Linked DNA regions of Tribolium castaneum. The protein of the gene in region 7 binds, or shares a complex with, the protein of the main gene of each other region. Links are inferred from orthologs where the notes say so. Each region holds a gene or a part of one and is shown on either strand. Other genes may lie near its edges.

Region 1 (2,584 bases), on a different chromosome or scaffold from region 7:
CAAAAAATAAAGATATTTTCACACCACACGCCACTGCGTTTTAACGCGATTACATCGAAAAGTTCGTTACGAACTTTGAAAAAATCGCCAAATTAGCCAAAAATATTGTTTTTACTTTTTTCAAGCCTTCAACAAGTTTTGGAGCTAAAAAGTTGAAAATATGCAATCAAGTTTGGTGCAACGGCAACTTAATAAAATATAATTAACATTTGAATTTAATAGTACTTACATGTTACCTTTGAGTGTTACGAAACTTATTTAACATCATGGGCTTCTTTGATCAAATATTTAATTGTTTTCAGGGCTTACAAAGACATAGCTGACTGTTATTACATCAAAACTGCGAAAGTGTGTGGAAACAGCGCTGCAGCAACAACTAAAGAACTTCTACAGTCGATAATTGACAGTATTCTCACAATAAGCTGTGACAATGTGAAGGAGACGCCCAAAGTCAAGGACCCAATGCCTGAGGAATATATGAAAAAAGAAAATAAGGCAACTTGTTCCTTCACATTTATTTCATTTACAATTATTTTTTACAGGCTGACACAATGATTCTTCCAACTGTACTTCACTTACTAGTTAGCATAATATTGATTTTTATTTAAACTTCAACAAATCTAAATTATTGTAATAAAGGTATTGAAAGACATTTTGCTACTTTTTTTTAGACGATCCAAAACCTGCAAATCCCATAATGCTAGCAAGCTCACTTGCTTGTTCAGATGTTTCTTCCAACATTTCCTCAGCTTTTCGCTTCTCTTTCCTTTTCTCCCTCCTGTATTCGCGTAGCTTTTCCTCTTCTTCGGCAATTTCCTGCATGCGAGCTGCCATATCGTAATCTTTTTTCTTCTCCTCCATTTTCCGCTTGTTTTGGTCAAACCTTCGTTTAACTGCGTCCAGACTGCTGCGTTCGATCCGCATCGACATTCCCAAGTTTCGTTGATGCTTTTTGCCATTGATGTGATCCAAAAAGTTGATTGAATCTTTAACAACACAGTCGCAGACGTTGCAGTAGTAGCCCCCCGATTGTGATGTTGGTGTGTTTTTGTTTATTACAATGCTTTTGCCAAGCTTTGAATCCAGGTCTACTTTATACTCTCGGGTTTTTAGCATTTCACGTTTCACCGGGGGGCCTTTCTTTTTCTTGGTTTCTTCTTCGAGGCGCTCGATTTCTTCCCTCTTGCGCTCCTCGGCTAACCTCTCGTATTCGTCCCTGTCCCATTTTCGGCGGTGGTCGTCTGGTCGCATAGTCATTTCTGATGATTTTTCTTTAGCAGGATCACAATCAATTAATAAAAACTCAAGTACAATAACAGTGTTGACAAACTGCAGTACACATTGACAGCTGTCAAATTTTCAAGGTTAGGTTATGTTGCTAACTTCATAAGAATAAAGGTTCATTTTCTAATAAATTGCGAATTTGCGCCATTCAGGATGTTTATATATATCATTAGATTATTACAATTGAATTCATTAAACTCATAGAATACTTAATAGATTTTTTAATTTTTTGGTTATTCGACTCTGCTATTACATCTAACGAAGTTAGCTGGGTTACCTGTTTAAAAATTTAAGATGGGAAAAGATCAAAAAAATCCCGTAATCAAGACAATTAGTTATTTATTTCAATTTTTTTATTAATTTTTAAAATCTAATTCACAGAATCTTTCGTTTGCAATTTTTCAGTCTGTGGCTGTTCAAACTACCACTACGTTATGAGTTAGTTATAAGTTATAAATACCAAAGAAAAAGTGGATAACTCAAAAAATTTAAATTTTTAACAAATTATTATTTTGGGTAGGCAACACAATATTCAAATGGCAGCCTACGCAACTAATTATACAGAGTGTTCCAAGTTTTATGGTCGAAGCAAAAATTAATATTCTAGTCGAGTACAAATAAATTAAATTAATTTAAATTACAAAAAATCAAATTGAATTTAATTCAAAATTAAACTAATTCAAATTAAGTAGCATTAAATACATTGACAAATGTCGAGTTAACCGCGATTAAAATTTAATTGCAATTAAAATGTTTTGTAAACCGGCGCTCTTAGTCTAGACAATTAATTACGCTACCATTTGATATTTTGAATGTGGTCAAGTATTAATTGCTGTGAAACATTATAAACCAATTTTTTAAAATAAAGTTCAAGGTGTATTTTCTATTATATGATAAAATTCTTTCAATATTTAAAACCGTAACTGCTAACATAGAATTATACGATTGTTGCCAACTTTTGAGTAATATTATTATTATTACATTATCAGAAAATTCTGATGTGGGCTCTATTCCACAAACGACTTTTACACTTTGCGCTTGCACGTTCCCGAACACCTTTATGTTCCACCAACAACAGTATTTTGCACACTTAGCAAAAAATATACTTAGCAAAAATACTTCTTTTTACAAAAATATGCCAAAACAAATGCAAAGATTGGTGGAAGACATTAACTTTAAAATTTGCAATTTATGCAAAATGCAAAGTTGCAAAAAATTTTAGTGGAACAAGGTGATATTTAGTGATTAAGGTGATATTAAAAAAAATATCAATTTTAAAAAGCCGATTATGGCGAAACTA
Region 2 (3,017 bases), on a different chromosome or scaffold from region 7:
AAAACTGCGACGCAGCAACTGCTTAGAAGCAATCAATGAGTCGCTGAGTGCGAAAGAAGAAACTTGCATTGTTGCGGGTTTCCCCGAACTTAGGCACTATTTGTACAAATGCAAAAGTACAGCACAGTTCTACCAACCAAGCTTGACCCCACCGTACACCAAATATAACGAGAGACTAACAAAGTTGTACAAACGGGCGCATAACTTGTTGCATTGCTCGACGAGGCCGCTAAAGTTGTTATTTGAGAAAAACTCAGACGAGGCGATTTTGGCGTGGGATACGAGAGGTTTTGAGCTTTATGTAGTTTTCGAGCCCTTGATTGACACAAACAGTGCGATTAACTCAGTGGGGCGGCTGCTGAACTGGATTAAGAAAAGGGAGGAGAAGTTGTTTCATCTCAATGCGCCCACTTTTTGAGCCATTTGATTTGTATATATTATAAATATGTAAATTTTGTGGAAATCTAAGGTATAGGCTTAATCTGTGATATTCACAATCCTAAACTTGTTGATGTATTTAATTATTGATTGTATAAAACGATGTATTGAAAAATCAGTGGTGTCTGTCTCGCTCCCGTTTCCTGTCTTTATCCTTACGATCTCGCTCTTTTTCGCGGTCTTTCTCCCGGTCCTTGCGCTCCTTCTCCCTGTCTCTTCTCTCCCTATCGCGCTCCTTCTCCCGGTCGCGGTCCCTCTCCTTGTCCTTCTCCTTCTTGTGGCGTTCCTTACTCCGACTGCGATGCCTTTCTCTGGATCTGCTGCGTTCCCGCTTCCTCTCCCTTTCTTTCTTCTCTTTGGGCTTTTCTTCAACCAACTCGTACTTGTTTTCTTCCTCAAGTTCAATCTCTTCGTCCAAGTCGTCTTCAAGGGCCGAGATCTTGGCTTCGAGTTCGTTGCTTTCTTCCAAAACAATGCGTTTTTGAATGCGTGGCAAAATAACATCACAAACCTTAAAAATTAATTTTACTATCTACCGTAACAAAAAAAACACGTACTCGTTCCTCTCGTAACAATTCGTCAATAAACTCGTCCATGTGTACAATTTCAAACTGCGCTTGGCGATTTTGTCGCCGCAACTTCCTGTTGTCGTTGTACAAAGGCTCAAGATATTTGTAACAGTCTAAGGACGACCCTGTGAGTCTCATGTAGAAAGCACCGAGGGCTCTGACGTATTTAAACTCCTCGTTTTTGATGAATTCAACTACAATGTCTTTCTCTGGTTGAATTTGTAGCATTTTTAGTGTCAAACATAAAAATGGTGTTGGCTTTATATTGCCACCATAAACACCACCCACAAATCGTAATTCCATTGCCTTGTCTACTAAAAGCTCTGCAGTGAGGGCAAAACATTCCTCCTTCCAGTATTTAGAGTCATAAATTCGCGATCTGATGATCTTTTCAACCAGATACTGGGGATTTGTGCCATGGATTGATTTGGCATCTTTTACGGTCCTATTTGCCATAATTGGCCTAATTTAATTTGTAAACTCACTAACGCACCTTATGCACAACTGAATTCGACAGAAATGCACAGTTTATCAATAAATTCTAAGAAATTGTTGACGCTTGTAGTAAACACAAAGTGAGGTTAAAAATGGTTCGCTCTTATCAGACTTTTTGCTTTGCATTGTGAAAAAAATTACAGACAAATAATACTGTGTGAATAATCCAATTAGGAAATACAGGCTAAGGTTATACATTACAAAATTAAACAATAGTACACGTATGAAACAATTTAGTTCTTCAATAATAAACAAGTTTCACGTTTCCCGAATTTCTCATAAAAACTTATTTGCTAATATCGTCTAGTCCCCAGGCGTGACTCGCGGGTGGGAATCCCACAAAAAGTGCCAACCTTTGGTAACTTTGGTTATTACCACCAGACACCATTCTAATTTAAACATGAACAAACGCTCATAATTTAATAAATAGTATTTATGCAAGTAGAAAATTATTAACGCATCCAAATGAGCGTATCGATGGTATTGTTAAAGATGTAAAATTGCTTTTTGGGGGATTGGGTGATTCAAACACTTGCGATCGTTTTAAAAACTTTATTGATGACATTGAGACAGTTAGGCATTAGCTTTATTTGTCTATTTTATGTTTGTTGAGAAGTATATTATAAATTTAGTGTCTATTTACTTATTACTTAACACGTTCACCACCTCGAAGTGGAGTAAAATTGAAAATCAACTGCTGTAGAAAGTCTTGCAATGTTTGTATTGTGGAAAACAGACAATAACAGAATGAGTGAATACAATAACAATAACAGTGAAACACAGGCAGCAAACGTGTGGACTATATACATAAGTTATTTTTCGAAGAATTTTTTGTTTTTATATTTTTTTAGATTGTTTAAGCCCGATAAACATTCCAACTAACTTAAAAAGTGGGCGTGAATATTTATTTCCAATGATTTAAGTTTTTTATTTATAATATACGTTTGTAATACAATATAAAATAATGCTCCTAACACACTCGTTTTTCTCATTTTTGTTTAGGTACAAGTTTCCAGAATTGCAGTTTTCGTATATATCGTATATTAATAACAAAATAATAAATACTTATCAAATAAAATTTTAACTATTTACAATTTATCCCTTAAAAATATTAAATTCGTTAAAATATTTGCAAATTTTTGTATACATGACGAATCCAACACATCCTAAGATTTCAGTCCATTGGATCACAAAGTTTTACACTCAACTATGCTAGAATTTTGTTTCTAATCAGTCGGACATAAGCAACAAAACCAAAAGAAGCACAAGAAATACACTGAACATAAAATGTCACACGCATGTTATTGTTCCACATGAGAATGATGTTTAGATGTGGTTACATGAATCACCTAATGACCAAAATGCTGTACAAGACAGTTGGCACTATCTAAATATAACAAGATTTAGGCCGAACTTCCTAACAAGAAAAATCGGGGGGAATAATGGCATGACTGCAATATTTTCGCTCGCAGAAAAGCCGCTTCCACCCGTGATAAAATAAAACTAAACGAATTT
Region 3 (4,053 bases), on a different chromosome or scaffold from region 7:
GACAGTAAATTACAGACGTCGTCGCTTGGTTGTCGAAAATGTTATCGGTGTTAATCACAAGTATTTTCTGTTCGTTTATTGTGTTTTGTGATTTGCGTTTCGTTAGGTTTTTGATTCTGCGTTTATTAGTTCTTGTTTTGTGAATCTGTATTTTTTGTAACAACTCATAATTTAAACACTTCGTAACCTCAAAAAATATTTGATAGTTTGTCACCGCTATGCCCCTGCTATGTAAACGTAGTGACAGAAATGTCAGATGACGCACACGCAAATGGAGCTGAGCGCTACCATATGTCTATAATTATTAAGGCCATGAAGGATGTTACAAAGCAATATTTCATTTCAATATACAATTCCGTTATTTGTCACCGGATTGTTATCAAATTAGAATGCACATATTTTAGGAGGTTGTCTTTCAATTAGGGGCAAAAAATGACCTCAAGTTAAGAAATGAAATTTTAAAACATTTCTTTTGTTTAAAATAAAGCCAAATTACCGTTGGATCATTAAACTCCGAAAAATAAATGACCACACAAAAAATTAACCAAATCGATCGGCTGATCCAAGAAAGAAATTAATTTTGTTGTTAAAAACTTAATCCAAATTTTGATTGTAATTTGGGCAGTCATTTTTTGAAACAATTGGTGAAGCATTTCTATGCGGCATTTTGTGTACCACTGAAAAAAACTGTCAAAAGTTTGCGAGCTATCAGAAAAGTAAAATTGTTTTAATTTGGTGAAATTACTTTAAAAACCAACCAATGGCTGAGATTTCTGTGTTGTTGAAAAAGGAATCAATATTCGCCTATGGAAAGTGTCGTTGGACTTTTTGTGAAATGTTATTTATGAAATTTCAAGTTCAAAGAATCGTCAATAATTTGAAGACACAGGAAGCGTACCTGAACTAAATCGAGTGAGTACAAAACACGTCACTGGAAACGAAGCAATAGTTGGGGCTGTAATTCAAGCTTTTGAAGAGAATCCAATCAGCAGTGTACGAAACATTTCCAAAGTCCTGAATGTTCAAGTGTCTAGAATTTTTCAGTTGTTGTTCAGTCTTTTCGTCCTTTTTGAAAGAATTAAAGCATCCAGTACCAAAAGTAAGTCAAAAATATTGTTTTTTAACTTTGTATGGGTGAGAGATGGTAGTGCTCATTTGTCTCATAGAGATCTACGCTTTTGCATCTGTACCCACGTTTAACAGTTTGTTTCTCATTTTTCTCGCGAAACAGATGTCTTCCACGAACGAGTTTTTTCTGACAGCATTTTTCACTGACGATAAATTTTTTAATATGTCTTAAAAGGCTTAACATTTTAAAAAGGCATGTAAAAATTCGTTTTTAAGACTTGAGTTTTTGCATTAATTGGATTTTAATCTTTATCTTCTAAAATATCTGCATTTTAAATTTCATGAAAATCCGTTGACAAATATCTGAGATATCAGGCTCGAAAGTTTTAGCTGAGACAACGCTTTTATCGATGTTAACTTAGTGTATCTTCGATAAAAAAGTAAATAATGCACAATTGCAATTTTATTATTATACCTTCACTTTAACATGCATTCTTTATTATCATTTATAAAACTATAAATTTTATGTTAACTGGTTTTAAGCAACATTATTTCCCAAATTTTATTTCTTTCTCACTTACGCAAATGTAAAGGAGCGACAGAATACACTGACTTCCGACGTTAAGAATTTTTGTATAGTGGCTTAAATTTTGGTATGCCAATGTCAGTTACAGAATTAGATACAGAGTGGAATTTTTAACAAGTATAAAATCCATTACTTTGATAAGTACATACGATTTTTGTGAAAATTCCGGAAACAAGTCAATTGCAGGCACCTTTAACTTTTTTTTCAAATGTAATGTAAATTTTATAATACCAATTTTTGCATTAACACGTTTGTCACTTAAAACAATGTCCCAAGTTTTCGTTAAAAATCGGTCATAGATGTATCAAACCAAGCCAAAAATTATAGTTAGTTTTGGCCTTTAACAGTGTTTTTGTACTAACAACACAACTTTTTTGAACAATATCACCAAACAAACAATAAAATTAGTCGAAAATGGTATTTTTACACTAAATTATGTTTTTATTTAAAATTTTGTTACAACAGACTGAAATAAGCATCCCTGACCTACCTTAGGTGTTTGAAGTATAACACCAAACGCCGAAAATGTATCATAAAGCAGCTTCTCATCCACTTCGGGGTCCAAATTCCCGATAAAAATATTCGCCCCCACGTCCAAGTTCTTCTGATGGGCTGATGCTTTATTCACTCTTATTGGCTTTCCATAAAGCTTTATCATGTTCATTATTTTTATGGCATAATCAGCATCTTCTTCACCCATGAACTCCACAAAACCATAGCCTTGGTGCATCATTGTTACGCGGTCTTTGGGCATGTGAACGTTGACTAAAATGGACAAAAATTGGTTTGTAAATTATTACAAAAATTATGCTTACCCAAGGGGCCAGATTGGACGAACAGTTCCCATAATAACGATTCTGTAACTTTATCATCTAAACCACCAACGTAAATTGTTGCATCTGCAAAAACACAAAAAACACCGGCACTTATTGGAATTTGTGAGGTTAAGTAATCGAAAACTTACCTCTGTTGCGTTCAGCAATCGGTCCATTAGCCATGATTATGAAATGGATATATCTCAATGTATTAATAGCAAAATTTTACTTCATCGCTTGATAAAAGAATGCTTATTTAATTAAATAAATAAACGAACCAAATACGCAAACCTTAGACGCAAACTTTTCTTTGCTTGTAAGAATCTTTAAAGCCGGCCGCGTTTCACTACTGTCTCGCCTTATTGGTGGAAAGATGGCGCAATAGTGGCAAAACTAGCGCTGTATTTAAAATGCAATTCCAAAAAAAGAAACCATACTATTACCAATTTTTTTGATGATTTAATGTCTTTAAAATGTTATTTTTGACCCTAACTATAAACTAAACAAGTTTCTAAAATTCAATAAGTAAGATAAATTATTTTTGAATCTGTTTCCGAGGAAATAATTCCCAGTGTTGGCAGATCTACAAATTGTGATTCTTCTGATGAAATCACATTCAAAAAACTGCTGTTTGATAGTAAATTTAAAAATAATTATTCGTTTTATTAGGAAACGATTATTTAGTGTAAAACATAAAAATCATTAAAAATAATGAAAACTGAAGAAGTTAACAAAATAAGTTTGTAGCTCCAGATTTTTTTAAATACGACTTAAGGAATTTTTTCAATTTTTTTTCCGGAATGTACACATGCTTCTTAACAAAGTACCACCAAGTTGGTGCGCAAATTTTTGAGCACTCTGTATAAACAATTCTTGAAAAGAATCAAAATGAATAAACAATAAATTAAGCAAAATTAAAATGGCATACTTATCGATGTTTAAACTGGAAGGTACAAATCCAAAAAAAAAACCCTGAATATTTCGTAAACGATTAAATATAGGGAAAGCTTATATAAACTATCTTAAAATAACTCCAGTAATGCAAAAACGCATTAAAAAATATATTTGGTTCACTTTCATAAAAACCATTGTGGTGGAAATTTGGTACTCTTGGCATTAACTTTTATATGAGTTGTCATGGTAACAGGTTAGTCAATTCCACCACAATGGTTTTTATGAAAGTGAACCGAAAATAGTCGATTTTTTTTATAATCAACTGTCTAAGAGCTGTCAGGTTGCCATTATCATAAATAGCAATTTTTTTGAATTAAGGTTGGTGTAATTTTTTACCTGGAAAATTCATTTGCCAAATTTTTCAAGTTCTCTCTAATTTAAAACACGTACAACAACACATTTAGTTATTTTAGACCACCTTTACACTAACGAATTAACGACTAACACTAACGTCCAATTTTCAAAAAATTTCAAATCTGGTGTTCAAAATGTCAAATACAGAATACAGCCAGTTTCAAAAGTGGTTGGACATGAACTTTTAGGGTGATACAGTCTGGTCTTTATTAGAATTTTGACACTGACAGTTGATTGTTTAAAAAAATGAACTATAGCTTTGGATTTAATATAAGG
Region 4 (3,731 bases), on a different chromosome or scaffold from region 7:
TTTCTTACCTGGTACGTCTCTTGAGTCGAAAAACTCGAGAAGACCTCACCGAACCAACTGGACTTGAGGGTTTCTTCATTGTTTAAGTTGTATACCGCATTTAATACGTCCATTTTAGCTCGCACATTATAGAAATTAGACTCTGATGATTAAAGAATTAGTGATTAAAGGTTGAATAAAATCACAAACCTATTTGGATGAATTTACCCACTTATGTGTCAAAGTCAAATCTGGTCAAATCACAGGCACAAACAAATGCGCATCGTTCGGTAAGTGAGAAAAATTGCAGCCGACTGTGCATTCAACCGAACTCTAAAAACACGCTAAATGAGTACTTAAATTATTATTTATTTACGCAGAAACTACTGAATAATTTCTTAAGTAACAGGAATAATTTTCACTCTCTCTATCCCTATTTCGGGCTCAGTTTTGTACGTTCGTGCTAACGAACAGTCGAAAATTCCCCTTCCCAAGGCGACCATCAAAATAAAATGTCAATATTTAAAGTTTTGTTTATGTTTTTTATTGATACTTATTGTTAATACAGCACAAATTACAATAAACCTTGTCTTTTAAGATCCTCGTAAGTCTTTCTGTTAACGACGTTCCCTTGCGAATCCTCGTACTCTTCCTCTGTTTCAGGTTGCCAACGCTCTGCCTGTTTTTGCACTTTGAGCTTCTCCCACACTGGAAAACAACCGTAACAAGGTAAGAAACCAAAATTGCAACTTCTTACGTGCTAGGGCATCCTCAATTTGCGTCACGTTGGCAAAATGCGCGGTATTGGGGATTCCCAGACAGCGCATTCCATGAGCGTGTCTCCACTCCGCAAAGTGTCTTTGAAACGCCTTTGGTCCTTTATAGACGTAATTGCCGCAAATTTCGCAGTTGTAACTGATATTCAAACCGTGGAGTTTGTACAACCAGTATGGAATCGGCTGCAATTACGAAACAATCAATTTTACCAACTTACTTTCAAAATCACATACTTTTCCATCCCAGCCCAAAGGTAAGTTTTTGGGGTTGTAGGGAACGTCATCGTCGGCTTCATCGGGACTTTCCTCCTCACTCTCCTCATTTTCACTATCGTCTCTTTCACCATCCGTCCGCGCTTGTTTTCTCTGGACATTTTCCTTAGTTGCCGCGCGTTGAGGGGCGACCAGCTCGGCCAACCTATAAACTTGTGCCTCAAGACAGGCCAGTTCTCTTTGTCTCATTTGCTCCTTTTCCTTACTGGCTTTGCCAGATTTGTTTTTAGTCATTAGAGACGGATCTAGTGAGCCTTTGCCCTTGGTTGAAAATAAACGCTGGGCACGCTCTTCCAACGTCCTAAATAAATAATTAGAATTTTATTTATGGCAAGACGTAAATAATTACCCGCCACATTTTAAACCAAGAGCCATTAGGGCCGACTTCAATCTGTCCAAACCTAAAGAAGCCAATTCCTCCCAACTTGAAAATGCGGACAAGTCTAAATGGGCCCCAACGTTCGCCAAGGCCGACCCTGTCTCTTTCTGAAAGTAAATGAAGTAGTAAAAATAAATTAGTTTTTTACCAAATTACGGGCCATCCTGGAACAGTCCCATTCTCCCACTGGACCATAACATTATCAACTTCGTTTTGCAAATCAGCATCAATGTCCATCAAAGGTTTGACTCTTTGCACGAACCAAGTTAAATACTCAATCAAGCAAAGCAAATATTTGCGATATTCTCCAGTTTTGCGTTCTTTAGGAATGTCATAGAGCTGGTCAAAAGTGCCCAAATATGTGATATAATCAACCTTTTCAATGCCTTTCAAATTGATATATTTCTCGTAACATTCGTGCAAATCCAAATATTTCCCATAACCTTCCTCATCCGTAAATTCAACCAAATCTTGAAAAAACAAACGTAATTAAACAACTGTGATCACACGAGCCTAGCAAGACTCACTTGCCATTTCTTCAGTGGGATTTTCACGCGCTTTGGCTAGTTCATCGAACTCAACAGACATTGGAATACTTATCTGAGAAAAAAATCATTACACAAACACACAAAATATTCAAAAACTATACCTCATTAGGATGCTTCCTGTAAAAATCTTTAATCTGCTTGAGACGATTGTAAAACTCCTGAAACTCATTTGGACCTGTAAGGGCAGCGACTTCCGCTTTTCTTTGCCCGTCCTTGTCCTCATACAGCTCAATCAAACGATCAGTGGAGGTCATATATTTGTCTAGCAGAAATTTAAGGCGATAGTCCGAGTTTATTGCCTCGCGGTACTAAAACAAAGACTCTGTCAGGGGGCAAAGCGCCACGAGAATCACAACTTACCGTTGTTTTTTTATGTAAAATTTCTTTAACCATTGCGTCAATGAGACGCTCTTTTTCCTCGTGATAACGCCGTTGTTGCTCCAAAATCGTCTCCATTGCGACTTTTTTTAGAAAATTGCGAAAATTATTTATTTACCCGACGCCATCAAATGTCGACTGTCAAAAAATGACAAAATGTCAGCGTAGAATAAGAGAGAGGTGCACCATTATTGTCACACTAGAAAATCACTAAGCGGTTTTTCTTTGACTTTACAATTTTTTTACGACTACAGTTGTGTCCCAAATGAAATTTTACGTAAATAGTTATGCCACAATAACATTTTTAGAGCTTTAATATTCTTAAAAAATTAAATTAAGGCTAAGGCGACTTTTTATTGGTCCGGTTGGTAGCAGTGTCTTTAATCGTGTGTCAGTAGTTTGGTATTTTCATATTCTATGTTCTAATTCATTCTATTTTGCGCCGCAAATGTAGTGTTGTACTGCAGCTGTTGTTAAAACTTGAAAGTCATCAAAAATGAGTCGTGACGAGTCCTTCGTTGCTGTGAAAAACACTGCAGAGTCCATGGTTCCGTCAATCGGGTCCGATGATGAAGATTCATTTGTCGTTTTGGAAACTTCAAATTCCATCAGCGAAAGTTTGTCTTGCAGCCCTCCAAGGGACGAAATCTTGCCCCCAATAAGGACAAATAAGGTTCACGAAATGGAAAATCTAATCAGGATGAAAATATCACAAATTACCGTTGATCCGTTGCCAGAATTACCAGCAGCTGTTGATGCGATTGTGCCCTCAGTTGCAAGTATTGCAATATCGCCGGATTCGTCGTATGAAGAGATTCAAAAACAAGTGGAAGAACTGATTAAGGAAAACGAAAAGTTGAAGAATATCATCGCACAAAATAACATGAGTATGAAGGCGCAGTATACGAGGTTTTTGGCCTACAGGGATGAGGTCACCAATGTGATGAAGTCCTACAAAGATAAGTTCAACGATGCCAAAATGTGCATAGATAAGTATAAAGAAGAAAATGCAAAGTTGGTTAGTGACGTTGAAGTTTACATCAATCTTAAAAAGCTCCATGAAGAAGAAATCTTGAATTTGAAACTGAAGCTTAAGGAATTGGAAAATTTGACCAACGGCCCCAACTTTTCAGTTGTTGACACAAGGAAATTAGCAATGATGAAGGATTTAGAACTGAAACAGGAAGAAATTGAAAGACTGACGCAAAAATTGGTGAATGTACCGAACCTTGAACAGGAATTACAAACCAAGCAGCAACAAATTGACGACTTTAAACTGGATATTCTCGCCGCAAAAAATCGCGAAAGCGACCTAATTGACGAAATCCAGTCAATGAAGACAACAACCACCGACCTCCAATCAAAATTGGATAATTTAACAAAAGAAAACGCAAAACT
Region 5 (4,052 bases), on a different chromosome or scaffold from region 7:
TGGTTTCACTCAACTGCTTTTTCTAGCGCCCTTTTTCTTTATCACTCCTTCAAAAAGGAGTTAAACATTATCAAATATCTGTGGTTTTCCTCACGATACAATTAAAAAACATTGTTCAAATAGTCAAACATAAGTTCACTTTTAATTTAACCCATACAACTCCAATTAATAGTTATTTATATACCAAGGGAAATATAAGGGTGTTAATGACCACGGGCAATAAATTTGCTATCCAAAGGGCCGTTAGCCTCGAGGGACCGTACGTTAACCAAGATTAACACCTAATGTTTCCGGTAAAAGATAAATAATTAATTTATTTCTTACGAAAATAAATTTCCACTAAAAAATAAATTTTTCTCATTTTTAAAAGTACTGACAATTGTTTTTTTTATAAAAAATATCTCTTTACAAAAATTATTTCAAAAAGTAAAATCTCGGATGAAATGAAACAACAAACAAAAAAGTCTCTTTGGGTTCCGGCAAAGTGTTACTCTCTTTATGGTTACCCAAACTAATAAGTAATACGATAATAACATTTCACAATATTTTTGGTCAATTTTTTTCAATTTACAAAAAGATACAAACAATTTAACATAACCATAGTCAAATCTGATCACAATCTTTCTGCTTCTCTGATACATAATAAAGATCCTCAACATGAATGTCCTGGGAGTGTATTCTACAATTTCCAGCGGTGCATCTTAATGCACAAATATCAATTTTTGTAATCTTGAAATGTGTGTGCATCAAATTTCCCTCAAAAATCATACGAGTTCATGTCGGGCAACTTTATAAGTTGCATTAAAATTAATGGTTGATACTAGGTAATTATGTTAAATTAACTAAATTAATTACTTATGTTTAATTAAGAAAATTAAGAAATATTTGTTTCTTGAACAACTTGAAAGACAGCAGTCAAGAAAACATTTTTTTGGAGCCAAATCCATCTTCACAATTAAGCGATTAAATTTTCAAAAAAAAACATTTTCTTTTAACGAAAAATTTAGCTGAATATGTAATAAGTATTTCGGAACCTTTTATGCAACAGCAAACTCGTTCTACTGCAATGAATATACGCATTAAGGTAAATTGGCATTTACTGAACTGACAGGTGTATTCAACAATGTTTAGGTTTTAATTCAGCAATATTTTATGGGTGTATCACAAAGCTCAGTATCGAGCAATAGCCGAAGAAACATTGGCTTTGAATCAATCCCAAATTTTTAACGAATGGGATAAATTTCCTAGAAATTTGGAGTAGTTAGATGTTATTCGTAATGAGTGAGTTTTAATTTTAATAGCCTTAAGGCTAGTTCAAACGTATTCGTCTTATGGCGTTTTCAATGTAAAAGAATTCTGGCTATAATTAGGTCATTCGAAAAGATATCAACATCGTTTCAAAACTCAATGTATTTTAGAAATGATATTTACAAAATGGCCATTAGAAAATTTTAAAAAATCTAGTGCTTAATAAATTATGGCTATTTAAATAAACAAGATTTCGGACTAATACACGTATAAAGACACTAAGACTTCAAAATGAAAAACTCACCGGCCAATCGATAGAGATTTTTATTTTAAACCGCTTGGTATTTTTTTTTCTGTTACTAAAAATAAGCTTATTATCGCGAAAATTTTAATTCATTGGAAGCACAAAATTTCTTGGGCTATGATTCATAGCAGTTGACTAGACAAATCCGCAGAAAAATTTACAAGTGACTAATTTTTTTTTTTTTGAAAAGGTTTAATAGCAAATTTTGTTTTTCTGGAATTATTAGATGCATCGACTGCACAATGTAGCCATAGTTCCACCAAAATAATAATAATAATAATAACAACTAATGAACCCAATCCAGAAAATATTTAGGTATGTTAGAAGGAAAATTATCATTCTACTAATGTTCAACGTAATACTTTTCATTATGAAATTGTCAATATAAAATTTAGTTTTATGTTTTCTCTTTTGCCATTCAAAATTTTCTAAAAAAGGGCATAAACTTAGGCGTATTGTACGTGTTAAAATTGTGGTAAGTCTTGCTTACATACTTCCAGTATCTGAGTATTTTTGGCACTATTTTCTCTAGGCCTTTAAGCTGAAACTATTTTGCCTTTTTATCTATTAAAATTATGTTATTAATTATTATTGTGGGTTTTGATATTTAATTACCTATAATACGATTCTTCAACGTCTTCCTCCTCCAAATCGTTCCTAACCCCAGTCGGTTGCGACGAACTGCCCGGTTTCTCCGACTTCATCTGTTTTTCAATCCCTGCCATGTAGGCATCTAAAGGATCATCATCATCGTTTGGCACCTCTTGTTTCTTGGTTTCGACACGCGTGGGGCTGCCGGGGGCAGGTATGTACGCGAGATCTGGCACAGTTTCTTCCTCATCGTCCTCAAAATACTCATCCTCGGTGGCAGCCCGTTTGCGGCTACCGCCCCAAGCAGCAGATAAGGCATTCTGACTTATCGCATTCATAGTGGAATAGCCCTGCTTGCTTACGCCACTCATGGGGGGCGGCGGCACGGCATTATGCCGCTTTTGGTTCATTTGGAAACCAGAGTAGTTGAAGCCACTCATGATTGAGGTTATGGAACTCCCACACACACAAAAACACTAGTTCGGCCCCTGAATGGCAACCATACTGTTTTGTGAAAATGTTGTTTGATTTTTTATGCACTTATAAAGTTAGAAGCGACGCACAATTTGCAAAAACAACAATTTTTTTCACCAGAAGCACAAATGTCAAACAAGTTGACAATCAAAGCTGCCATCATTGTCAATACGGAAGTGAAAGTCACTAAAATACGCATCACATAAATATACAAGGTGTCACAAAAAGAAAAAGAAACAGGGACAAAAAAAAGAACCAGATTTGCTAGGAAAAAATGGATAATAGTAAGAAGGCCCCTATTGAACACAGCTACTTTTTTAAGGAAAACACCCCGATTTTCAAGAAAGGCAGAAAAAATCGTGAAAACATTCGTTTTCAATAGTCCAGTCAAATTAGACAAATCGGTGGAGTTTTTTTTTTAAAAACTTCCTTTTCACTTGGGTAGATATATTTTATCAAAAGTTTCCGAGGTTGGGGGGCGAGCTCGAGGAGGGGGAGGGAGTTAAAGCAGTCTTTTATTGTTTTTTTGCTTATATCTCGGAAACTGTTACTCCTATCAATTTTTATCTTCTTGCCAAAATTAAAGCTGATAGCATTTCCTACAAAAAAGTTATTTGCATTTTTCTTGTGCGACTAACTATAAGCGAGTTATAGGTCTGGAAAGAAATAATCATTTAAAAAAAATGCTTTAAAAGAAAATGTCTTGTGATTTGAAAAACTGACAATAAACTGAATTTATTGGGTCCAACACTTCATTAGAGTCGAAAGGGGGAGACATGGGGGTCACAGAAGTCTTCAGAGTCGTCTTTAGATGCTGCATTTTCGTCTTCGTCTCCAACATTGAAAACTGAATTACAGTCTTATTCAGTAAATATTAATAAATAGATGATTTAATGTAGATGTTATGAATAAATCTGATAATACACTGTATGAATTGAGTCCAACAGTTCATCTGGATCATCTTCAGATGCTGAATTGTGGACTTCAACTGAAGAGCCCGAGGGAAAAAAGTTTTTTCTCCCTTATTTCCTACTCTTAGCTTAGTTGGGAGACGCTTTACACACACTATTTCCATGTAAAGACTTATTATATACTAATGTTTAGTTATAGTGTCATGTGAACACCAAACTTCAAAAGCTAGTAGCTCGCTTACGATTAATCCTACAACAATAAGGCTAGGACCATTTTGTAGGAAATTTTATTAACTTTCATTTTGGTAAGAAGATAAAAATTGCTAGACTGACCGTTTCCGAGATATAGGCAAAAAAACAAAAAAAGACAACTTTAGCCTCCTCCCCCTCCACGAGCTCGCCCCCCAACCTCGGGGACTTTTAATATATGTCTACCCAATTTTTAAAAAAATCCATCTAGGAATTTTTTCCACCGGTCACAGATTAGAGGTTAGGTCCCTGACAGTCAGCTGATCACTGACAGC
Region 6 (4,176 bases), on a different chromosome or scaffold from region 7:
CGGCATCCAAAGCAAAAGCGCGAAAAAACATCATTTCTTAACCAAATAATCAATTACAAAAAGTAAATGTTTGGTCGCTAAATTGTTTGCTCTGTAGTTTCAGCTTGCAATTTTCAGCAGCAATTCTTAGAAATCAGGGAAAGTAGCACCCAATAATAAAACCAGTTTTTGTCGCCTTTTTAATCGCCTTGTGATTGGCCTGTTTTGTAGTTGGGAGCGCATTAGTCCATCAATAACCAATGGCAAACACCTTAATCGTGTTGCAGTTTTTTGTGCCGTAGATAAATTAGTCGGGGACAAATCAGACGATAAACAGGTCCCGCCCATAAAACTAGAATTTCGTCTTCGATGTGTATGAATAATTGTAATGGCCGGCCGACAATGTGATTTAATTTGTGTTTAGAAAAAAAATTCAAAACACAAAATCACAGTTTATCGAAATTTGATCTTACAAAAGGAATGATTATGTAATGTTGACAAATATTAAGACAGAAATAGATGAAAGCTGTTTATTTCAAAAATATTTCCAGCTTCTCTTTGACTAAAAGTCTGGGATTGATAATAGATAAAAATCTATTCTTAAAGAATGTTATTTTCGTAATAATTATTATTAATTATTAATTAATTATTATTGCTTGATTGCCACTTTTTATTTAGTTATTAGTTATTCAGTTTCTTTTCATTTTATATTTTTTAATAATTAATATTAAATTTTAAGATGTTAAGTGGAATATCTGTGACAAAACTTCGCCTCTTCGTCCATTTATTGTCTTTTTTATATTGTTCTTTCTTATAATCCTTCTATAATTTTTTATATGTATTTTTACCAATACTTATTATTTAATATAAAGCATTAATTAAAGGTCAACAAACGGTGTTTCAAATAATTATTAAATAAATTAGTTTTTCCAATTAATTTACCAATTTTCGTCGACTGTTTGAAATATTTTTCCGACAAATTATTATAAATTAATGAATATGTATTTTTATAGTCAACCGAACAATAAATATTCCAAAATATTGCCATAATTGGTTCCGATTATGTTGTATTAAATTTTCTTTCTTTTTCTATTTTGTTTCTTTGTTTTTGTCGATAGACAATTTTTATTTAGTTATTAATTATTCAGTTTCATTTTATTTTATAATTTTTAATAATTAATATTAAATATTAAGTGGAACACCTGTGTCACAACTTCGCCTCTTCATCCGTCTTTTGTGTTCTTTTTTTGTATTGTTCTTTTTTTTATTAAGATATTTTTGTTCCCCCCTATTATTTTTTATATGTATTTTTACCAATGCCTACTATTTAATAAAGAACATTAAAAGTCAACAAACATTGCCTCAGAAAATCATTATTTATCGTCGACTGTTTGAAAAACAATTTTCTTCCACGAATTATTAAAAATTAATTAATAATAATCGACGATTATACTGTACTACACTGGGTGTTAAATAATAAAACAACTTTTGCTTTATTTAGGCAGTAGTAGAAAAAACCTTGCATTCAACTCAAAAACCCTACCTTTGACTCGAATCCCCTCCAACTCCTCCTTGTAGGCCTCCACCTCTTCGTGCGTCATCTTGGCAATTTCGGGCACTTCTACGTAGAAATTCTTCCGAAACGGTAAATATCTAACCATGTTATGATCAATTTTCGCCAATTCCTTCTTCTGCTTATTAACAATACTCGCAGCTGTGTCTTTCAAGTCCTCAATTTCCTCTTCAGAGGAGTACTCCAGACCGTCCTGATTCTGCTCAATCAACTCACCTTTGTTTTTATTAACCTTGGATTTGGCCACCCCTGTTACAATAACTAAGGCACCTTTTTTATTCCCGGACTCGGTTTTGGGCTTTTTCATGTCAAGTTTGTGAGTCTTTCTCACTTCTTCTTGAACTCCTTTCATATACTCGTCTAGAGGATCGACTTCCTCTTCTTCTTCTTCTTCTTCTTTTTTCTCTTCTTTCGCTTCTTGTTTTTCTTCCTGTGGCGGTGCTTCCCCGTTTGTTTCTTCCTCGACTTGATCCTCCTTCGTTTCGCCTTTGTCTTTATCCTCGTCTTCGGAGTCGTTTTCTAGGGACCATTTTTTGGCAGTGGCTTCGTCAGTTGTTGTGGTTGCATTTGGTGCATCTTTCTTCATTTCTTCCTCTTTCTTCTTGCGTTCGGCGCGCCAACGCTCAATGCGTTCGCGGCGTTTTTGCATCTCAAGTTCCAACTTTTTTTGCTCTTCTTCCTTGTCAAGGTTCGCCGGATCAAAAGCCAGACCTGAATCATCCTTCTTCCGGTCTGTGGATCTGGAGCGAGACCTGGACTTGTCCCGACGTCTGGATTTGCCAGAACTGCGCTTCTCCTTACTGTCACCTCTTAGAAATTCCAACTTTAATCCAGGAAAAAGTGAAAATTAAACAAACCTTCGACGGTCTCGGTCTCGACTGTACGAACGCCTGTCACGCTCTCTCCTGTCTCTGGACCTGCTGCGCCTCTCTCGGGACCTACTTCGACGGTGGCGGCTAGACCTGGACCTGTCTTTGCTCCTGGAGCGCGAACGGCGCCGCTTCCGGTCGGGAGAACGGCTCCTGTCGCGTCTTCAAAAGGGGCAAAAGTTTGGTTAGACAATTTGGCCAAAAAAAATTATTATAGCTTCACTTACCCGCCCCGAACCATCGTAAGTCTTTAGTTTTTCTTAAAATTGGACCTAAATCAACTAAAAGTAAGATTTTGTGCCCCAAACATAACCTAATCTTTATTTACACGGTTACAGTTTTCTGTAATCTGACAAAGAAAGTGATCGAAAATCCCCAGATTTGGTGTTTTTTGTGTTTATGCTTGGGGATTTTTCGAGATAGTAGAAATACCAACTGCGACTTTTAGGCAAAAAAATTATTTTAAAATATTGCTATGGGTAACGTGTTTTAAAACTAGGATTTAGATATTAAAAAAAGGCTTAAAATGTTATCAAAAAAAAAGATATGGAAGTTTTTACTTTTTTTCCGTCCCAATTTTCTTTTTTTAGTACAAACTCAACACACAACAAAATAAAACGCAATTAAATTCAATAAAAATAATTTATTTAAACAAAAAAGGGCCTAATCGGCATGCTCATGCTGGGCGTGTGCCTCCGACTCCCTCCAGTTGCTCTGAATGGTCTCAACAATCCACCCCCAGCACTTGGACTTCGTGAAATAATAAGCCCCACACAGAGCAATAAAAACCCAGGAAATGATCAAAAAAATATCAAATTCGCGCGCAGGGACACTGGTGACAGGCCCCTTGAAATCAGCCGAGGTCACAATTGACTTTTCGGCAGCCGCAATCCCCGTATGTTTGGCCAAAAATTTGGAAAAAAGCTCAAGTGTATACTCCGACTCATTAAATTTAGCAACGGGTCTCCCGTTATGAAACAACATTAACGTGGGAACCCCCACAATCCCGTTCTGCGTATTAAACAACCGATAAGCCAGCGCGTTGATAGCCACCATTTTAATATCGGGGAAAGCCCTTGGCAGAGCGTTAAAATGGGGGGCTGCCATGCTGGAAAACGGGCAATATTTCGAGTAGAACAGCACTAGGATGCACCCGGCGGGGGTGTCCCGGCTCGTGATGTTGCTCTGGGTGAAGAGGAGTTTAATGAGCTCGGTGTCGTTGACTAGTTGGACTTCGGGGGCCCCAAAATCGGGCAAACATTGCACGAGTTTGAGGGTTTTGTTGCTGGATGATTCAGTGGTGTTTGTGAGAGTTGCGTTGTGGGTGGAGTTGGTGAAGGAGGTGAGGTTGCTGGAGATGTCTTCCACAACTTCGGGCTCCTGACATAACGTCAAGTGTGAGGTTATGACTAAAAAAAGTGTTACGTAATGGGGTTACATCATCAGGGGGCACTTACTTATCGCGAGGAATGTGAAAAAATGTGCAGAAAAAGCCATTTCGTGTCTTATTTTATCATTTCGAATTATTGATTTGGTTGGGTTAAAACAAGCGATACAGAAATACAGAACGGGCGAATTATGATGGCCGACGTTTCAAATTTCGGCGCAAATTATCTTGAAATCGTAATTATTTTGTAATTACGTGAAATTAATACCAATAACTAAATTAAAATTTAATTTTTTATTAAACTTGCGTTTGTATAGACTTATTAATAAGTTAATTAATAAGTTTTGTATTTCACATCAAGGAGGCTA
Region 7 (3,997 bases):
TTTTCATAGCCAACTACTTTCAAATGTTTTAATATATTTTTATCATAAATATACAGCGTGCTCAAAAACTGGCGCACCAACTCAATGGTGTGTGATAGAGAAGTGGTTACATATAATGGTAAAAATAGTAAAAAAATTCTTTGTATTAAAATTATTGATAAATAACTAATTTTAAGTAATTGATATGTGGCAACGTTGTCTAATAGTCATGATCGCAATAGAATTTGAGCAACAATAAAAATAAATTATATTTGAAACGGTTTCCTAGGAAATAATTCCCAGTGTTGGCACATCTACACATTGTGATTTTTTTGGATAAATTTTAATTTTTTTATATTAAAAAAACTGCTAAAATTTGATAGTAAATTTTAAAATAATTGTTAATCGTTTTGTTACGGAACGATTACCTGGTATGAAAAATAAAAATATAAAAAAATAATAAAAACTAAAGAAATTAACACAATAAGTTTGTAGCTCCAGATTTTTTAAAATATAACTTTAGGAATTTTTTCAACATTTTTCCCGTAATCTGCACTTGCTTCTCAATAACGTACCACTGAGTTGGTGCGCCAGTTTTTGAGCACCCTGTATAAAAACATCAAACTATATTTATATTGTTTTGAGTTCAGAAAAAAAAAGCTTTTCGAAAATGTCATAGCCAACTATAATTCTCATTTAAAAAAATAAAACTTTATGTCATTACAGCTAAGCGAATGAGTAAAAAAAATCGCTGCTAACATTATTAAATTCTCTGTAAAAAAGTGCCTGTATAATGTTTTTGTTTTAAATATGTATCTTTTATAATAAGGAAGATATGATATCTTTACAATAACTTAAAATTTCATCAAACAAACGCATAAGACTATTACTGTAAATTGCATTGAACTAAAACTCTGAAAATTGTCCGGAAAATATGGTACAAAACAATAAGCTTTTTACTAGAATTTGGATTCTTATTTGCCTCAAATTGAGATAAACACAATCAAGTTCTAAATACAGTACCTACAGTACGGTAAAAACAAAAGATACATACTGGCAATATCAAACGCATAAATTGTTAAAGTATAATTTTGGCCAAAGATAATTTTCTGAAAAATTTATTTAAATTGAAATTTCCTCTCAATTTTCTGATTGGTTTAGAAATTTTGCGCTTGCGTAGTAAAAAATATAGCCAACACGCACGCGCAGTAGCACTACATTTCTTCTTTCCGTTTCCTTTCTCACTTCACCGGTGTTTGTGCGTTATTTTGCCGGTCTGTCGCCATTTGCAGTTAGTTTTTGTACTTTTTTGCTAAATAATGTATCAAAACATTGCAAAAGGTGCTTTATTATTGTTTTTTAATTAACTTAACCATCGACAAAAACGCTCAAATAAATAACCAAGTCACCACGTCACAACAATGTGAACCATGCGAAAATCGAAAATAAATGGTTGAAAAACTTTGAAATATTGAACGAAACGAAGCTCATCCACGTTCAAGGTAACAAAATTTAGCTTTGATTTTGTTTTATAATTAATCACAAGTACGTATTTTTGCCCAAATTAACGAGTTGCTTTAAAAATTTGTAATCGGATGCACTTGGTATCTCCTGTACCTATGTATTGTATACGTACAGGTCGTAAAGGGTGCTATATTATGGGGCACATCGCATCGTTGGCTCAAGCGAATTACCAAGCTAAAGCCTGGTTTTAGTGCCCCACATTTTCAACTAAAAAATGATACGTTCTAACCTCACTTTTCTTCCTAGATAAGCCCCCAAAATGTATCTCTACAACCTGACCTTACAAAGGGCCACAGCCATCACCCACGCCATCCATGGCAATTTTTCCGGCACCAAAATGCAAGAAATTGTCATTTCACGTGGCAAAAGCTTGGAAGTGCTACGGCCTGACCCCAACACCGGTAAAGTCCACACGCTTCTAACCGTCGAAATATTCGGAGTCGTCCGCTCGTTGATGTCGTTTCGACTCACCGGAGGCACCAAAGACTTCGTCATCGTGGGCTCCGACTCCGGCAGAATCGTTATTCTTGAGTATATCCCGTCTAAAAACAACTTCGAGAAGGTCCACCAGGAGACGTTCGGCAAATCGGGGGTCAGACGTATTGTTCCAGGCCAGTACCTAGCCACTGACCCTCGAGGACGTGCTGTAATGATAGGCGCCGTCGAGAAACAAAAACTCGCTTACATTTTGAATAGGTACAAATTTTTTATTAAAGTATTTTTGTTCTGTAAAAATTAATGAATGCACAAAAAACGTGCGGTCTTTATTAGTTAGTTTTGCGGAAAACTATTTTAGAAAGTTATAATTACATCTGCATCTGAGTGACATTTTTGGAGTGCGATTTGTGCAAAATTGTAAGTTTCTGTAAAAGAAAAAAAGTTTGTGCTAAGAAAACCCACCAGAAACTCAATTTGCGTTACATTTTACTCCAAAAAATGCAAATACGTTTTTGCAAAATTCTACGACCTGAAATGGGATATACCTACTTAATTAAAAACAAAACGAAATAGATTACCACAATTAAAGAATACATTATCAAGCCCCAGTGAGTTTTGTGTCAAATTCGAAACTTTTGTATAGTTTTACTGTATTAAAGAATGAATTTTGTAAAAACAAATAGAAATTGCTGTTTAAATTTTAAATGTGACAGTGCGGGAAAGCTATTTTTAAAATTTTTGGCAATCAGTTCTGCATTTAGACGGCTCGGATAATCCGTACGATTCTATTAACCGAACTCCCAAATTAAGTAAAATAGTATACATAATCCGAATTACCATTCATTTATTTTGACTTTTAATTATTTTGTCGAAAAAAGTATTTGTTTAAAATACACTATCGGACAAAAGTAAGGCAACATGTTGAAAAATATACAAATATTGGTATTTTAAATTTTAAGAGTTGGTATTTACCTTCAATTTAATTTTATAATAAACGTTTAAAGATATTCTTATTCGTGTTGAACATGGATAGCCAATGGGTAATTATTATGACATGCTACTAGCTTGAAATATAAAAAAGCCCGATATTAATGCGACAAAAGTAAGGCAACATTGTCAGAAAATATTTTCAACTCAAATTTTATTTGATTCAACATTTACATAACACTACCCAACACTAAAGTTTAAATAAATAGAACGAAAAATTCAATAATTTATGACATAGCCGTTATTAAGTATAATTTTTTGGCACCGTCTGGGCATTGAAGAAATTAATTTTTGAATAACATTTTCATCCAGATTTGACCACACTTCTTTGATTTTATCTATCAAAGATTGCTTGTTGGGAAATTTTTGTATCCGGATTCGTCGCTCTACCTCTTCCCATAAGTTCTCAATTGGGTTGAGGTTTGGTGATTGGGCAGGCCATTGCAAAACATGAATATTATTATTTTGGAACCACTCACTGACCAATGCAGAAGTGTGTTTGGGGTCGTTATCTTGCTGAAAGATAAAACGAAGAGGCATTTCCCATTCTGCATACGGCAGCATTACATCTTGGAGTATGTCCTTATGGATGAACCGATCCATATTACCCCCAATAAAGCTCAACGGACCCACACAATTCCACGAAAAACACCCCCACAGAAAAACGCTACCATGACCATGTTTAACAGTGGGTGTAACATACTTGGGGTTGAATCGTGTATTGATTGGCCGTCTCACACGTTTCATTCCATCCGAATTAAATAATTTGTATCGAGTTTCGTCACTAAACAGAACTTTCCTCCAATCTTGCTTTGTCCAATTCAAATGTTCTCTTGCAAATTGAAGTCTGGCGCGTCTATTTCTTTCGGAAATCAAAGGTTTTTTAGCAGGACGTCTACTAAAAAGCTTTGCTGCAACCAGTCTTCTTTGAATTGTTCGTGTACTAACTCCTACTTCCGGTATTTCCGCTATAATTTTAGATGCAGATTTCCATGGATCGTTTTCCGAAATTCTTTTAATGCGTCTGTCCATGTTTATAGTGGTTTTTCGTGGTCGTCCCGATTTTGGA

The links.
Region 1: Sf3b3 (region 7) and zinc finger matrin-type protein 2 share a complex: the UniProt entries of both Homo sapiens proteins name them as parts of the spliceosome B complex. The link is inferred for Tribolium castaneum from reciprocal best matches to the Homo sapiens genes SF3B3 and ZMAT2.
Region 2: Sf3b3 (region 7) and Prp38 share a complex: the UniProt entries of both Homo sapiens proteins name them as parts of the spliceosome B complex. The link is inferred for Tribolium castaneum from reciprocal best matches to the Homo sapiens genes SF3B3 and PRPF38A.
Region 3: Sf3b3 (region 7) and splicing factor 3B subunit 4 share a complex: the UniProt entries of both Homo sapiens proteins name them as parts of the SF3B subcomplex of the 17S U2 SnRNP complex. The link is inferred for Tribolium castaneum from reciprocal best matches to the Homo sapiens genes SF3B3 and SF3B4.
Region 4: Sf3b3 (region 7) and noi share a complex: the UniProt entries of both Homo sapiens proteins name them as parts of the 17S U2 SnRNP complex. The link is inferred for Tribolium castaneum from reciprocal best matches to the Homo sapiens genes SF3B3 and SF3A3.
Region 5: the proteins of Sf3b3 (region 7) and ATP-dependent RNA helicase DDX42 are in contact, whole or in part, in a cryo-EM structure (PDB 7EVN), measured with the Homo sapiens proteins. The link is inferred for Tribolium castaneum from reciprocal best matches to the Homo sapiens genes SF3B3 and DDX42. Residues at the interface, in NP_036558.3 of Homo sapiens: Glu159, Ala160, His161, Tyr211, His219, Val220, Val221, Arg222, Lys223; in NP_031398.2 of Homo sapiens: Lys145, Gly146, Ile147, Arg148, Asp149, Asp150.
Region 6: Sf3b3 (region 7) and Prp5 share a complex: the UniProt entries of both Homo sapiens proteins name them as parts of the 17S U2 SnRNP complex. The link is inferred for Tribolium castaneum from reciprocal best matches to the Homo sapiens genes SF3B3 and DDX46.

The regions. Positions count from the first base shown.
Region 1 is NC_087395.1:20,717,154-20,719,737, reverse strand, and holds zinc finger matrin-type protein 2, read right to left. Parts: upstream 1,375-2,584; 5' UTR 1,258-1,374; coding exon 658-1,257; 3' UTR 609-657; coding exon of another isoform or gene 543-608; 3' UTR 501-542; downstream 1-500. Other genes in the region: uncharacterized protein LOC656218, read left to right, coding at 303-495, 543-608. UniProt on the Homo sapiens protein: Involved in pre-mRNA splicing as a component of the spliceosome.
Region 2 is NC_087396.1:19,988,207-19,991,223, forward strand, and holds Prp38 (pre-mRNA-splicing factor 38), read right to left. Parts: upstream 1,630-3,017; 5' UTR 1,464-1,629; coding exon 996-1,463; intron 950-995; coding exon 554-949; 3' UTR 501-553; downstream 1-500. Other genes in the region: vacuolar fusion protein MON1 homolog, read left to right, coding at 1-418. UniProt on the Homo sapiens protein: Involved in pre-mRNA splicing as a component of the spliceosome.
Region 3 is NC_087395.1:2,316,564-2,320,616, reverse strand, and holds the start of splicing factor 3B subunit 4, read right to left. Parts: upstream 2,801-4,053; 5' UTR 2,653-2,800; coding exon 2,619-2,652; intron 2,554-2,618; coding exon 2,470-2,553; intron 2,420-2,469; coding exon 2,145-2,419; intron 1-2,144. UniProt on the Homo sapiens protein: Component of the 17S U2 SnRNP complex of the spliceosome, a large ribonucleoprotein complex that removes introns from transcribed pre-mRNAs.
Region 4 is NC_087397.1:5,206,220-5,209,950, forward strand, and holds noi (splicing factor 3A subunit 3), read right to left. Parts: upstream 2,555-3,731; 5' UTR 2,412-2,554; coding exon 2,316-2,411; intron 2,264-2,315; coding exon 2,057-2,263; intron 2,008-2,056; coding exon 1,935-2,007; intron 1,878-1,934; coding exon 1,564-1,877; intron 1,515-1,563; coding exon 1,378-1,514; intron 1,330-1,377; coding exon 990-1,329; intron 939-989; coding exon 737-938; intron 688-736; coding exon 554-687; 3' UTR 501-553; downstream 1-500. Other genes in the region: neuropathy target esterase sws, read right to left, coding at 9-113; NF-kappa-B essential modulator, read left to right, coding at 2,830-3,731. UniProt on the Homo sapiens protein: Component of the 17S U2 SnRNP complex of the spliceosome, a large ribonucleoprotein complex that removes introns from transcribed pre-mRNAs.
Region 5 is NC_087399.1:9,771,953-9,776,004, forward strand, and holds the start of ATP-dependent RNA helicase DDX42, read right to left. Parts: upstream 2,801-4,052; 5' UTR 2,584-2,800; coding exon 2,168-2,583; intron 1-2,167. UniProt on the Homo sapiens protein: ATP-dependent RNA helicase that binds to partially double-stranded RNAs (dsRNAs) in order to unwind RNA secondary structures. Unwinding is promoted in the presence of single-strand binding proteins.
Region 6 is NC_087399.1:718,979-723,154, reverse strand, and holds the start of Prp5 (probable ATP-dependent RNA helicase DDX46), read right to left. Parts: upstream 2,801-4,176; 5' UTR 2,663-2,800; coding exon 2,649-2,662; intron 2,584-2,648; coding exon 2,410-2,583; intron 2,362-2,409; coding exon 1,523-2,361; intron 1-1,522. Other genes in the region: bug (thioredoxin domain-containing protein 15), read right to left, coding at 3,085-3,830, 3,879-3,918. UniProt on the Homo sapiens protein: Component of the 17S U2 SnRNP complex of the spliceosome, a large ribonucleoprotein complex that removes introns from transcribed pre-mRNAs.
Region 7 is NC_087394.1:10,470,372-10,474,368, reverse strand, and holds the start of Sf3b3 (splicing factor 3B subunit 3), read left to right. Parts: upstream 1-1,197; 5' UTR 1,198-1,481; intron 1,482-1,749; 5' UTR 1,750-1,762; coding exon 1,763-2,199; intron 2,200-3,997. UniProt on the Homo sapiens protein: Component of the 17S U2 SnRNP complex of the spliceosome, a large ribonucleoprotein complex that removes introns from transcribed pre-mRNAs.